2 linked regions of the Lonchura striata genome follow. The protein of the gene in region 1 interacts with the protein of each later gene in a biochemical or structural test. Links are inferred from orthologs where the notes say so. Each region holds a gene or a part of one and is shown on either strand. Other genes may lie near its edges.

Region 1 (7,332 bases):
ATAAATCTGATCATTAGGGTTCAGTCCTTTTTCCACTGAAATCTAGCAATGTCCCCAGTGTTAGCAAAAGAAGGAGAAAGATATAGTGGTTCCTTGCTATGGACTACCAGAGGAATTATGTATATCAAGTCTGTGAAAGGCTGCAATGACCATCCTTAGAAAACTGAGACTCCTGAATGAAGGTTGCTATTTGACACATCTGGATATTTGCTGATAAATTTCCTTTTTTTTTTTCAATGGCAGTAATAAAAATCAAACATCCAAATAATGAAAGGATCCAAAGTTACTAATTTACACTAGTGTGTAGTGGCACATCAGTTTATAATTTCTTTCAGAACCAAACAATTAGTTGTTTCTCAGACCCCACATCATTTGCCTTTTCTAAATCAATTGCCTGACAGTAACTGCAGATAAGGTTTTTGCCTGACCTTTATATCCTTCCCAAATGTGGCTGCCTCCATGCACCAGTTCTTCATCCCACCTTGGGCCATGAATCTTTCCTTGTGCCCCCAGCTGCAGCTTGTGCAGACTTTGAGGATTCTGACATGATACCATCTTATACTCCTCTTTTCCTTCCACTAGGTAACTCTTGAGACACATCTGCTGTAAGAGGCAGCCATGCAACACAGGAGATATGTAGGTAGGGGCAAGATGCACTGGTCAAGCTCTCTTGTGATGGATATTGCATAAATGACCAGAAATCGGTGCCGTTGCTCCATATTCCACAGCTTTACCTGAGGTTGTCCCTGTGAAATCACAGCAGACCTATTTCATAGAATGTATTCTTGTAATTGCCTACTGTCAAGAAAGGGACTGTTTTAAAACCTTTGTCTTCTACTGGATGTCAACTGGATAAACAGCAACAGTTAAGGTCCTTGAATATGTCCTGTAGAGCATTTGCTGGGATTGGAGAGAAGGTGGAGGGTGGTGCACCTGGGAGTGGTGAGGAGACTGGTTCTTGGTGTCACTGAATATCAGGTCTTTTGCATACAGCTTATGAGCAGAGTCTCTGCTCCTTCTGACTGTGCTTTCCTGTAACAACAGGTGCAGCAAAAGGAGAAGACAAATGCACACCTTGGAGGACTGTAATTTTCAAGTCAGAGGCTGAGAAGAAGCGGGGAGACAAGGTAGGCTGAAGAAATGCAAAAGTATCATGCATGATATAACTCACAGCAGAAATGCCCTGTGGTTGTGGCATATTGAGTCAGAGAAATGAGTTTTGTAACAGGTCAACAGGTCTTCTGCAGGAGCCAATTCCTACTTGCAGGGAAACATCATAGACAAATCTCAGAGGTTAATTTCTCTTGGAGGCGCAATCCAGACGTGGAAAAATCATTATGTTTTATTAATGTGTAGTTTTTGTCTTCCCATTGCATCTTTCAAGTACGATTCCTCTGAATCAGACATGAAAGATGATAAGAAAGGCACCTCCCTGAACAGAGCTGCCCATTTTCATTTTGTTAAGCTGAAGGGTTGGATGTTCTAAGCTTCTTTTGCACTCTTCATTGTCAAGGTGTTGAAACATTTACAGTACGTTTCAAATGGCAAATGTCACCCACTCACCATCAGTTTTTATTTTCTGCTTGGCCTGAGCAGACAGAGGCACAAGCAGAAACTTCAGTTATTGTTTCTGTGTTTCCCTTCTCTCAAGACTTTCACTGCTCAAAAATGCATCAGAAAGCTATTTTTCATAAGCAAATGTTAAAGCATTCTATCACCTCTTTATATTTTTTGGTCTGTCTTAATGTGAATTGAGTGTAGAGAAATGCTTTGGGTTATTTATCTCAAATTAGAAATATGTGTCTTGAGAAGAGTTGGTGTGAATAATATTAAAAACAAACAAAAACCCCCAAAACTCAAAGAGCTGTTTCATGATGTAACAAGATGTCCAAACTCTGAGGAAATAGCTTATTTTTTTAAAAAGTCTAAGATGAATACTGACCTGAAGGCCCAGTCTCAAAATCATGCCCCAGTTTAAATGTCTTTTAAGCTTTTATTAAAAGCAGTATCTTAACATCAGCAATACTGAATTATAAATGGTGAGTCAAACAGGATTTTCCACATTAATTTGTTTCTTTTACAAAGTATCATTTTGGATGTTGGTTAATTTCCCCTGTTACTTTTAAGGGTTTTCATTATACAAAGAGAAAAAAAAAAGAGTTTAAGAAAATTGATTGCATAAAATAGAAAGGAATAAGCAAGAGGCAGAAAATGAGAGAAGAGTACAATGGGCCGAAGGAATTATATTGCTCTTAAACATATCTGTAAAGGGACCTGAGGTTTGCCTAATCACTCTGTGCACCAGCACTCCCCCAGCACATATATATGTATCAGGGGGTGGTGTGCATGTCACATAAAGTACATACATATGGTGGTGTATATAGCACATATAGCTAAAACAAAACATCCGCAGTACTACACCACTATTATCATATATCATGAAACAGCTAACATTTTCCTGGGAACATGAGACTGGAAAAGGAAGTCATATAAGATAAAAAAGTTGGAAGAATATCAGCTCTTCATATTGGCATTCAGATGCTGGTGTTGCACATGCCTCTTCCCTGTGTAGCACTATGCATGTCAGCAGTATTGCTTGGGCAGCCAGGGGCTGCTCCTTCGGAGCAGGGGCAGATTTGTCTCTTGGTGTGCTGTGAAATCACTGGCTTCGGAGGCATGGCACCAGAGCACAGGCTCTCATCTGGTCCCCGGTGCCCACCTCCAACAGTGCCCGGGCATGCGTGGCAGCTTGAACAATGTGCAACTCTCACTCAGTGTGACAGCATCTGACTACTGTGTCTATCCTGAAAGTCAGGCTGTGCTGACCTGGTGCTGTAAAATGTGCATATAAAAGGCATCCCTGGGACCGCCAGGGCAATTAGTCTGACCGTAGCAGGAACATCCATGTATTATAGGCATCTCGCTAAAGCTACTTCTTGCACCCAGAAAAGATTTACAGGTGAAAAACAACACCAAGCCAGTTAGCCTGAGGAAATTAGGGTTGAAGTGGCCCTTTGAGTTAGGTAAGATTGCTTTCTCTTTGTTTTTAAAAAACTAGTGGACCAAGTAATCTCAAACCACAAATACCTGCAGCTTTGTTTTGTAATAAAATCAACATTTTCAATGGTGAGACTAAGAGAAGCTTTATGAAATACACAGCATCAAATCAGTCTTTCATTTCCATCAGCAAACATAACATTTTGTCAAGAACCACTAATTTTTTGAGGACTTTCCAAATGTAGCCCAAGCTCGGGTACCTTGCTAAATTGCATGTATCAGTAACAAATCTTTACTTGGCTGTGTTGTGAGTCAGGTTATGAACAAAAGTGCATGTAAAGTATCTGATATTGTGACGGCAGCAATTTAAATATATTTATATATATATATACACATATACTTTTCCCGAGAGCCAGTCCCACCTTGTGACTTGATGGAAAATGGTTGTGGTAGTGTTAATTTACGGTTTCTCAGACTTTTTTAATATCAGGGAGCAATCTGCAAACTTTGGAAATGTAAGGTGTCTTGTCAGGACACATCATTTCCCGAAGGATGGAGATACTGGAACAAATGGCATCCTAGTTCTTGCTATTTCTGGACTGCAGCATGCTGTTGTGAGAAACCTGCTCGCAAGGAGCCCGGAGGAAGAACGGAGATGAGGGCCAAAGACGGAGGCAGCTGAGAGCCCTGTTTCGTAGGTTGAAGGCCAGAGGAGCCTGGCAGGGTGCTGAGGAGGCTGGCAGGTGGGCTGGGAAAGGAGGAGCCGGCGCAGGCATCACCGCCACTTTTCCCCTCGACAAAGCACTTGTATTTTTTCTCCAAAAGAGCTATCTGTCGGTGTCACATGGCTTAGGTGAAACTTTCCTTGAAGTCCTTCAGTCAAGTCAGCCTGCTGCGCCAGAGCGAACGTGAGCCCAAAAGGCGCAGCATACACAGAAAACCCACGCGAAGGGCACGTTTACCCCCAAAAAGCCCTGGATTTTTGGCGGGCGGGAAAAGGGGGTGTCCAAGGCATCGGTGCGCGGGAAATGGGGCTGCAGATGCAGGCTGAGCCGAAGGATGGAGCGGGAGAGGAGGGAGAGGGAGGAAGCGCGACCCGAGGCGGAGGGGCCGCTCCGGGGGGGACCCGCCGTCGCCCCGCGCTGCCTTCTGGCTGTGGGCGGGGTGTCGCCGCCCTTGGGCCGCCGCCGGGGCGGGCCGGGCCGGGCCGGGGGGATGGCGGGGGAGGAGGAGGAGGAGGAGGAAGGGGGGAGCGGGGGTGTCATGCCGAGAGCTCGCGTCGCAGCCCGGCAGGCCGCGGCCCGACCCGCACCCCGGGGCGCAGCCCTCCGCCGCTCCCCCAGGCAAGCGGCCCCGCTCCCCGCCGCGCCCGGGGCACCCGCGCCCCGGGCAGCAGCCAGCCGCGTCCCGAACGGGCGGAGGGAAGGGGGGAAGGAAAGCGGAGCCCTCTCCGCCGCTCAGAGGAAGGGGAGGGAATGGGGAAAGTTTAGCGGAGGGTGTTTGAATCGGGAGTTATCCCTAAAGAGCCTTTCCCCTGATCTGATCCAGAGGGCAGCGCTGGGAGGAGGGGGAGGCGACGACGAGCAGCCCTGCAACATCTGTAAAACTTGAAGGAGGCGGCGGAGAGGAGCGCGCGAGACGGAGGAAAGAGAGAGGGACAACTTTTCCGACACGTGAGTACCTCGGCGCGATGTGTTTGTTCCCCTCCTTCGGTGGCTGCGCCGAGCCAAAACAATGCGGGGCGGTGGCGGGGCTGGAGGGGACGGGCGGCACGGGACGGGACGGAGGGGTTCCCCCTTCCCCACCAAAACTGGTACCAGGCCGTAGATTTGGGGATACTTTTTTTTTTTTCTTTTGCTCCCTCTCTTCTTTTTCTTCTTTTTCTCCTCCCCTCTGCTCTTTTTGTTGAACCGAATCAGAAATGTCAGTCAGTGCGAGTGAGTCAGAAGGGATCAGATTACAAGATCACTGAAACTGATGTCGGACCCGCGCACACACACCCCCACACGGAGGCAGAGGCGCGGGCTGCTCCCCGCGGGAGGCGGGCAGGGATAAAACAACCAGCACCAACACCCGCCGGCCCTCCTCTGCCGCCCCCGTCCCGCCTGTGTCCCGTCCCGTCCCCCTGCCCCGCGGGATGCCCGCCGGCCGCGGCGGGGGCCGGCCCCGCTAGCCGCGGCGGCGGCGGAGCGGCGCGGGGACGAGCCGGCGGTCCCGGCCCTCGCCCATGGGCAGCGCGGGGGTCGGCGGCAGCGGCGGCAGGTACGTACCCACTTGGGCGAGAAGTTCTTTGTTCCCCGGCTCTACTCCGGGCCACTTTCTTGTCGTCTCCCAGCGCTCCGGCCCCGCTCCCGGCCCGCTTCCCGCTTCCCTAACTTGGAGGCGGGGGTCGGGGGGGACCGAGGTGTCTAACCCCCAAAATGGCTGTCACGGAGCGCGGGAGCCGAGGGCGCGGGGTGCGGGGCGAGGCGAGGGCAGTCCCCGCTCCGAGCCGGGCTCGGCCGGGCACGTCCCGCGGCAGAGCTGCCGATGTGCGGGCGACAGCTGCTGTTTTATTTCCACCCCCTTCTTTCTCCTCGCCCCTACTCCCTGAGCGACTCCAGGGGGTTTTCACGCCCGTGCGGCGGGAGGCCGGCACAAACTTCGCAGGGGGAAAGGCGAGAGGAGCGGGGGCGAATCCGCTGTCACATCTGGCGGGGCGGAGGGGCGCCCGGGGGTCGTCGTTCCCTGCCGGCTGCTCCCTGCGAGGAAGGGGACGGTCGGGTCCCGGAGGGGGGCGCGGGGGTGCCGGCGGCTCCGTGAGCAGCGCGCTCGGCCGCTCCGCGCCGCCCTGGCGCGGGTCCGGCGGGAGCGGGGCGGCGGGACGGGCCCGGCCGAGGCCGGGCGGGAGGAGCGGCGCGGCCGCCCCGCGGGAGCGCCCCGGAGCCGCCCCGGGCCGGCACCGCGGCCCGGCCGTGCACCGCCCAACTTTGCAGGATGGGAGCGCGGCGCGCCCGCCGCGGTTCCGATTGTCCCGTGAAGTCGGTGGGTGTTGGCACAATCCCCGCGCCTTCGGACGGGCCCGCCGGCTCGCAGCTGCTAGCGCCCGCTCCCCAACCCGCGCACCACGTGAAGAGAAAAGGTAAAAGGAAACACACGCCCCTCGCTCCCCATCTCACTCCCCAGTTTTGTTTTTAACCCTCTGGTGCGTAGTTTTTATCCGGTCCTGCGGGTACGGTGTCCGTGGCCTTCTGCCAGTTTGTATGTAGATACATTTATGTAAAACATTTTCTCCCAGCTCCTTGCCAGCTGTTCCACATTTTCCAGCTGCCACTTCAGTTTGAAATGATGGACTGTACTCATCTCAAAGAGCCTTTTAGTCAGAGGTACGGATAGCTGTCTGTTTGATACACAGTGTCACGTTTTGGAGGCTACTTCACTAAAAGAACATTAAGTAGCAACCCACGGCAAAATGCTCCTCTTCGTCGCACCCTTGCTACTTCCCGCTTCATTTGCAAGCCTCAATAAACATGATTTTTTAAGCTTCAGCGTGCAGACTTCGTTTCTTTTGTGTGCGTGCTACAGAAAAACTTGGAAGCAAAATTTTCCAGAGGCCTTGAGACATGTGGCTGATTAAACCAAGAAACATTTTTAGGAGGGCACGGCTGCCTCTCTGTCTCTCTGTGCTGTAGGTATCTGTTTTGAAATCGTTTAAGTCACTGGAATAGTGAGAAATCACTATGTTTCTCTGTGTTCCAAAATTGGTTTTGTTGTGGTGTTTAAAGAGATTATGGATTGAAATGTTCCAGAACTGGCCTTAAGTAGTTTGAATATTTGTGCAATTGCATTGTAATTTGGAGAGGTGCCTCACTGATTGATTCCTATAATTATTTCATTTAGGTCCTTTATTAAAAATTGATAATGATCTGACAGTTTCTTAATTATATATGTCATGATTATTTTGAAGGAAGACGAATGCAGTGTTTTAAAAGTAAAGTAATCCAAAAATGTAAAAACTGCCATCTTCACTGTATTTCAGTCGTGGAAATATATATTAAAAGTAATGGTGAATGAGTTTAGCAATGTAAACTGTAGGCAGCCTCTTGAGAGTTTGTTTATATAAGGAAGGTTTGGGTATAACCAGCTAGTATGTAAATACTTTCAGTTTTGTGTATAGCCCAATTCTAAAAGCATAAATAATAGTAACTATGAGAGGAGGCTATTTTAAGGACAGGGAATTATTTCTTTAAAAGCAGGATTATGTGATTTTGAATGAGTAGGAAGAATGAGTAAGAAAAGGACTCTCTCAGTGTATGTGTATTCTTTTAAGTAGCAGTGGAAGCAAAACTGTGGCTT
Region 2 (7,827 bases), on another chromosome or scaffold:
CAATGAAGATAAATTAATAAAAAATTCTTCTGAGTGTCTTGAAGGAACTGAACATACCCATCTACTGAAGATACTGAAAAATCCCTGAACATGCTCATCTACTAGCTCTGTGGCCAGTTGTTAATGGATTCATTCATCTTGATGCATTTTAGGAATCAAATTTAAATGGAAATCACCAGTCAATCTTTCATGTAGCACTTTCTATGGAGAGTGCACATTTCATATTGTTGTAACACTGTTTTATTAGATAAAGAATTTTTAAGATCAAGAACAAACCAAAGACAAGAGCCCTTGATGACAGCTCAGCTGCATAAAATGCCACCACTAAAGACTACAAAGCAAACCAGAGATAATTCCAAGTTCTATGGAGGTCAAGGAATTTGCACTGACTTAGGCCACAGCTGGACTACTGACATGTGCATTATGTTCAGCAGGGCTCCCAGACCGTTCAGAGAGAACTTGTTGGACTGCAGATGGGAATACAACTCTTAAAAATTAGACAATCAAGAGTAAAAAGTTGTGCTGAGGTACAGCTCCAGCTTCCCACTGTACATTACAAAGCTCTCCCTGCTGAAAGCATACAGCTAAGAGCAATTTGTGGTAAGAGAAATAAACGTCCCTGTTAATTTTTTAGCTACAGAACTTCATGTCCTTTTGGAACACACTTTAATTCTAGAGCAGGGCTGGGACTGGAGGGGTCTGGCTCTCACCAGCTCAGTATCTCACCTCCCCCTTTCCACACACAGGCACATGTGAGACAGGATAACATTCAGCCTTCTTCAGTTCTCTGCAGAAAAGCAGTAATGAGACAGCAGTGAGAAGTGGTACCTGCTCTGTGCAGCTCCACTTCCCATCCTGCCTGAACTCCAAAGAGTAGCAAAAATGCAGTGTCACCACGAGTCTCCTTGGCCCAGAGCCTGCCAGCGTTACAGGCAGATGCCACAACAACTGCTCCATTCTCCTTCTTGTAAAGGGAGGGGAAGGGGGAAGCTCGTTTATTGGAGAGGCAAGAACAAGAATTAGCTTTTATAAGACCAGCTGATAAAATGAAAAAGACACAGAATCAGCTGCTGGCACATGAGGCCTTCTTCAGGTCTGAGGCAGAGGCAGCAATCATTGCACTAAATAACAAAAGGACATGCTGAAATTAAATATAGGCTGCTCCTGCACTAATAGCTCAACTAAGTGATCCTCACAGCTCCAGAATACCTAGAGATAACTTTAATGTTTAGCTAATCACTCAACAATGCAGCAGGATCAGTGCTGATACAGGCATTCCTAAAAACAATCAACTTAATGCATTTTTTAACATATTCAGTAAAGGACATACATGTTTTTCTCAACACAGTCAATTTCACTCCTTACTATCCTTTTCTATTAGATGCTTTCCTTCCATGTCTAACTAAAATCCTTCATCTGTAAGATTCCAGGGAAATAAAGCCAAAACTGTATCAGAGAGAGGAATTTGGGATCCACAATACAGAAAAAGTCAGAAGAATAATTGCCGTTATCTGAGAAGACCTACAATCATTCACTGCATGGAGAGTTAAAGCAATAGGCTGAGAACTGCCAGGGCAGGAAACCCAATTCATATGGAAAAAAAAAAATCGGGAGAAATTAAGCTTGTGGAAGAAAAATGGAGCACAGCACTGACCCTTCAAAACAACAGAATATCAATCACTGGCGATAGAGGTCAGAAGGGAGGAGCACGAGTTTGTGACTCATTACACTGAAGGAGGCTCTATCCAAGACATGCCCTCCCATTCCTTCCTGGATGGTCCTTCCTCCTGGGAGGGCAGCATGGATGGGGCAAATCAGAACTGGACCCAGAAGTACCTCAAAGAGGCACAGAATCACTGTCATTCATCTCCTGCAGAGCTATTACATACACAGACTGAAGGTCTGCTTTGTGCTAATGAGCACCATCAGCAATACTGGAGCAGCCATCTGCAACACCACACTGCGCTGATGTAACCCTGGGAACAGATCCTTCAGCAGTGGCATTCCCTTGTTGTGAGGGGCACTGCCTTGTTGTGACCACTGTGCTGGATGCACTGGATGAGGGGGCACAAGAGGTCAAGGCTTCTCCCTCGCTGGGCCTGCGAGGGGTGCCTGGCTGCAGAGCATCATATCCTGCACGGGGCCAGGGAAGCGCCAGCACCCCCAGAGCTTGCTGGGGTCCAAGCACGGCCTAGCAGGAGCACACTGGAGCCCTGGCCAAGGCCTGCCCCACAGCACGCTGGCAGTGTGGCCACGGCCTGGCCCAGCACCCCCATTGTCCCCCCGGCACAAAGAGGGGTGGGCGGGGCCGGGGAAGCCCCGCCCGACTGACAGCGCCAGCTGCCAATGAGCGCGGGTGCTCTGGCGACAGTCCCGCCCCGCTCCGGCAGGCAGCAGCGGGCTGCGCCGCTGACTGACAGCTGTCTCAGCCAATGGGGGCGCGCCGCCCCTCCCAACCAGCGGCAGCTCAGCGGCGGCGGGGGCTGCGCCCCCCAGCGCGGGGCAGCGGCCCCGCCGTGGCTGACTGCCACTCGCCCCAGCCAATCGCGACTCGCCGAGGCGCAGCGGCCCCGCCCCCCGAGGACGCCGTATGGCGCCGTGCGAGGGCCGGAGGCGGCGGCCGAGCCGGCCGAGGTGGGGGGGGGGGGGCGGCGGGCGGGGAGCGGCCGCCCCGATGACAAAGGGATTGCGGGCCCTCCCCGCTCCCGGGACGCGCGGCCGCCCGCACTCACGTTGTCTATCACGACGGGCTGGTTCGCTATCACATCGTAGGATTCCATGGCGAGGACCCGCCGCAGCCGCCCGTGAGGGAGCAACAGCCCAGCCCTCGGCGGCGCATGCGCGGAGCGGCGACGCGGCGCCGCCTGGGTGATGTATTCCTGCCGCCGCGGCGCCTGCCGGGAGTTATAGTCCGACGCTGCGCAGAGTCAAGCGGGGAGGCGCGCCGGGAGCGGAGCACGCCGGGAGCTGTAGGCCGGCACCGGGAGCGAGCCATGCCGGGAACTGTAGGCCGGCGCTGGGAGCGGGCCATGCCGGGAACTGTAGGCCGGCATCGGGAGCGGGGCGTGCCGGGAGGCGGAGTGCGGAAAAAGGGAATCCTGCGGACACATCCACGGCCTAGACACCGGAGAATGTTGCGGTCCAGGAGATAGCTGGGTGCTTCCACCGGAAACGCTGCACCGCAACTGGCTGGCTTCCGCTTAATAGATTCTCCCCTCTTAATTTTTTCTAATAGGAAAGGAGAAAAAGGTGATTATATCAACTTCTGTAGAGGGTATCTATGACTACGGAAAGTGTTTTATTGTCCCATAATTTCATGTGATCATCTTTATGAACTACTGGTCATAAGTCATCTGTTCCCTCCACGAAACACCAGTTTCTCTCCATTTTTGAGGTACAAGAACCACAAAAGAGGTGTCAGTATAAAGAATACACATCATGATCATTTCAGTATTGAACAATGAACACACTGTCATTTCCATTGACTAAGTATTCTAAAAGCACTTGGAATAATCGATCACTGAAACTCTGGATCTTGAAACTAATTAAAATGGATTTTCATGCCACTGAGCAAACCTGAAGGCTTGACTCACCTGTCTTGTCCCACATCTCTCCTGCAGACATGGACTTTTCTCCTGTAGTTCCTGCCTTTAGCTCCAGTAGATAAGTTTCATCCCAGATGTTTACATTTAGCGACCTTCCCCATTCACCTAGTCTAAAAGAGGGAGTTTTTATACAGCAGGATTGAGGGGTTTAGATGAAAGACAGTGTTGTATCACTTCAGTGAATGGCAGGAGACACTCACTATGGGTGTTTCCAACGCAGCCTTTCTACATACTCTGTTACACTCACCTTCTCAGCTGACTGCAGCTGACTACTCAGGCAGATGACACAAAAAGTAGTATCATGGTAACAGGACAAGTGAAATATTTTTCACTGTGGAAAGTGAGGACACCAACTGCTCACCTCCTTTATCAGAGGATTGTCATTTGGCTGTCAGCTTCTTCACCATGTGTGTTCCCCCAAATGGTGTTGTGAAAGTTTTTAGAATAAACTCTCACCTATTTAAGTGAGAAATGCGAGCAGGGCGCCCACCATCTCTGCTGAGCACTCTATAGCTCTTTTTTTTTCTATTTCCTGATTAACAAGCAGGACCCTGCTCTAGCAAAGGTGTGTAAACTACTGCGCACACACCATCCACATGTACATACCCGGCTTTGCACCTCCACAGCTGTAGCTGCAGCTCGGGAATGAGCCAGACCGTCAGTGCGCTTGTGCACAAGCCAGAATCCGCGATCGCAGAGCCCCAGACTTCACGCACTGGCAGCTTCCAGCTGCCTCCAAGGGCCCTGCATTGGCGGGGGTGTAAAGGCAGCAGTCAGAGCCCCGCTGTGCTCCCGGGCCCGCCGGGCGCGGAGCTCCCGCTCCCCCGGACCCGCTCCGCGTTCCCGCCACCGCCGCGCGCGGCCGCCGCCCCGCCCACCGCCCAGCCCCGCGCCGCCGCTAGGGGGCGCGCCCGACCCGCAGCGAGGGGCGGGGCAGAGACGCGGCCGCCCTCCGGGCGGCGAGCTCCCATTGGTCAGTCCGTCCTGTCACTCAACGCCGCCCTTGCAGCGGGGCCCCACCTCCTCTGCGCGAAGCCCCGCGCAGCGCCGCCATTGGCGGAGGCGGTCTGTCACTCACGCGGCCCGGCAGTAGGCCCCGCCCCTCCTCCCGCGGCCCCACGCAGCCGCTTGGGCCGGGCAGGGCCGGGCCGGGAGCGCCTGGCGGGAGCGGAGCGGGTTCGGCACCAACCGGGACGGGCCGGGACCAGCCGCCTCCGGGACATGGAGGGCGTGCGGCCGGGCGGGGGGCCCCCCGCGGGCGGGCCGGGGTCCGGCTCGGGGTCCGGGTCCTTCCCGTCGCTGTTCCCGCCGGGGTTGCACGGTATCTACGGCGAGTGCCGCCGCCTCTATCCCGACCAGCCCAACCCGCTCCAGGTCACCGCCATCCTCAAGTACTGGTGAGGCGGCCTGGATGGGGCCGGGGTCTTGCGTGGAGCCGGGGGGAGCCGCGGGGCCGGCGCCTTGTGTGGGATAGGAGAGGGTTTGGGAGGAGGAGTGGGAGTGGGAGAGGGTTGGGAGAAGCACTGGGGCTGGGGCCGTCGCACGGGGTAAGCTGGAGGGGCTGGGGAGGGTTGTGGCAAGGGCAGGGACTGGGGGTTGCGTTCTGTGTCAGGGGTGATTTGCGGGAGTTTTGGGGACATGCAGCGGGTCTGCGGATGGGGGGATTGGGGGTGCAGTTGGTTGCCTAGGTGTGTGTTTGGAGGGGGCTCCTGGAGAGAATGTGCTGGTAATAGAAGGGTCTGGAGAGGTGTGCCCTGAGGACAGGAGAGTGTATTGGGGTTTCTGGGGTGATTTGGAGGGTCCACGCCTGAGGGGTTGCTGATGAAGGCCCCATCTGGGGCAGGTCTTATGAAAAGGGCGTGCGTGTTACTCAGTGGAGGTGTTCCCGCAGAAGGTGAGGGAGGGTCTGGAGTTTCCCCCCCGGTCAGGAGTGCCGGGCTCTGTCTTCTGGCCAGGGGCCTGGGGCTCGAGTGCGGCGGCACGGACCGGAGCGAACCCGCTGTTGCAGCCTGCAGGCCGGGCACATCCCTGTGTACCCATACAGCCCTGCCCATACGGGGCACTGCCAGCTTCTCTTGGCCTTACGTAGCTATGTGTTATCACAGAATGTGAATCTGCTGTTCAGTGTCTCTGCTGACACAGTGTCTGACACCAGGAACAGCAGTTGTTTATGTGGGAGAGTGGCATGAAGGAAGTTCTTGGATGTTTAGCTATCAAGATAAGTGTCTAGTGTCTAATCCCGTGTGAAGAGGAGTTCCTTTTGCTTTTTGCTTAACTGGATCGCTTAGCTGCGCAGCCCCTTCTTCTGGGGCTAAGGAACATGATCAAGTCACCCCTGAATGTTTTCTTTATGTCACATTGGCCTGTCCCTACCCTAGTACTTGAAAAAAAAACTAGTAAATGCTCAACTTCTTTAGTTACAGCTCATTTCAACCTGTATGTCTTTATCTAATTAGAGACCTGAGCAACAGCAGAATAACATCCTCCCTGTATGCTGCTCTGACAGACAAAGCTATTGCTGTTTTTGTCCACAGAAGTGTTGTTTTTCAAGTGATTCTAGCAAGAAGTTTGTTAGCCCTTATTGTCTAGGGGAGTATTGTATTAAAATGACACAGTGGGCTAAGATATTGCAAATTTGAGACTTCAAAATATAAATAATTTCTTAGTCATTGTGCACATCAGTACTTTGGTGGTGGTCTGATCAGTCTGTTTTTACACCTATGTCTAATCTTAGATACTCATGAAGAGTTTCCAGTCACGTTAGCACTTCTTTTCTATCAACAGCTTAAAACATACTGACTGTATTGACATAAGATTTTTGGAGGCTGAGGGAAATTTAGGTCTGTAGTGAAGAATGGCAAAGGCCCTTGTTTGGGAAGAAACCTTGTTGCTTAAGGGATTGATTAGGGTTTTGCTGCAGTTGGAGCTCAAACGCTAAAAGAATTGTTGCTGGCAGTGATGGCAGGTTGCAAGTAAGAAGTAATGTGAAGGCCTGTTTATCCTGGCATTTTCCACTTAGTGGTTCCTCCAGCTGTTAGCTCAGCCAGCAGTGAGAGCTGAGAGTTTCTGTTGTAGAGGTGAGCTTCCTACTGCTGTCCTGTGCAGGAAATGCTTGTGTGAGGTAAAACCTCTATGGACACCAGAAGTTCTTTCTCTCCTGTTGTTGGGTGAAAACTTGGAGCTTGATTTTGTTAAGTTCTCTTAAGTAGAACGACTCCTGCCACAACTCTCTGCTAATCTGTCCTACTCTGCCTGGGCTGCCAGCTATTAGCTGGTTTACATTAGAAGAGGAAATGGCTGAATTAAATTCTCTGCCTTAGGAGAAATATTGTATCACTAATCAGCTTTTAATTATATGTATCAGTTTCTCTACAGTTAACAGCGATTTGGTTTTTTTTGTTCAGGGAGCTGAAGTTGTAGTCTTTGGCTTGCAGATCAGAGCAGATCCTAACTGTGGAACATTGGAGAATCTGCAGAACTCCATGCCTGTTGCATAAAGGGGTTTAGCCATGTTGGGAGAAGTCTTGGGATCCAATCAGAACTTCTTGGAAGCGTTTCTGTCTATTTTTGTGAAGGCCATGCACCAAGATGGAGTTTGTCTGTTGATATCCAATATCCACTTTTATTATAAAATGTGGTAGAGTATCTCAAATTTAAATATCTTGTTGCATAGAATTGCTGGTGAAAAAAATAAAATTTATTCTTTTTTTGTGATGGGTTTTGAAATAAGTATAATTCGGCCTTGACTACTGGGTTTTTATCACCTGTCTTAAATTTAGGCCATACTTACAAAAACCTGTGCAGTGAGCTGTGGTCCGCAGCCTTTTGGGAATCACACACTATTTCTGAAAGGTTCTCAAAAGGTAGCTGTGAAGAGCAATGCTATTGTCAGCTTCTGGGAAGTGACTACAAACAATACACTAAGGACTTTTCTAGGTGGATGAATTAGGAGTGGAGTTTTCCAATGACTTTCCATTGTGGGTCTCTTTCCTCTCTGCGTTTTGTGTTTCGCCTTCCACACAAACTTCGGAGTGCTCTTAACATCAGTCAAAAGAAGATTCTTGGTGCAGATGCAAATACAGGGTTTCCCCTGAGGCGGTCCTTCCTGCTCCTGAATGAGCTCCATGAATAGAGAATGTAACAAATTTGTACTGTACCTCTGGCTTTGAAGTTGGGCTCTTCCTAATAAAATCCTCCAACGCTTCCAGCTCTTTGTGTGAGT

Evidence for each region.
Region 2: the proteins of GLI3 (region 1) and SUFU are reported together in a solved structure, tested with the Homo sapiens proteins (2 studies listed by BioGRID and IntAct, with this or other methods). The link is inferred for Lonchura striata from reciprocal best matches to the Homo sapiens genes GLI3 and SUFU.

What each region holds. Positions count from the first base shown.
Region 1 is NC_134603.1:104,409,810-104,417,141, reverse strand, and holds the start of GLI3 (transcriptional activator GLI3), read left to right. Parts: upstream 1-4,233; 5' UTR 4,234-4,340; intron 4,341-4,411; exon of another isoform or gene 4,412-4,545; 5' UTR 4,546-4,670; intron 4,671-5,203; exon of another isoform or gene 5,204-5,259; intron 5,260-5,929; exon of another isoform or gene 5,930-6,118; intron 6,119-7,332. UniProt on the Homo sapiens protein: Has a dual function as a transcriptional activator and a repressor of the sonic hedgehog (Shh) pathway, and plays a role in limb development.
Region 2 is NC_134609.1:20,014,823-20,022,649, forward strand, and holds the start of SUFU (suppressor of fused homolog), read left to right. Parts: upstream 1-4,766; 5' UTR 4,767-4,826; coding exon 4,827-5,002; intron 5,003-7,827. Other genes in the region: ACTR1A (alpha-centractin), read right to left, coding at 2,733-2,780. UniProt on the Homo sapiens protein: Negative regulator in the hedgehog/smoothened signaling pathway. Down-regulates GLI1-mediated transactivation of target genes. Down-regulates GLI2-mediated transactivation of target genes. Part of a corepressor complex that acts on DNA-bound GLI1.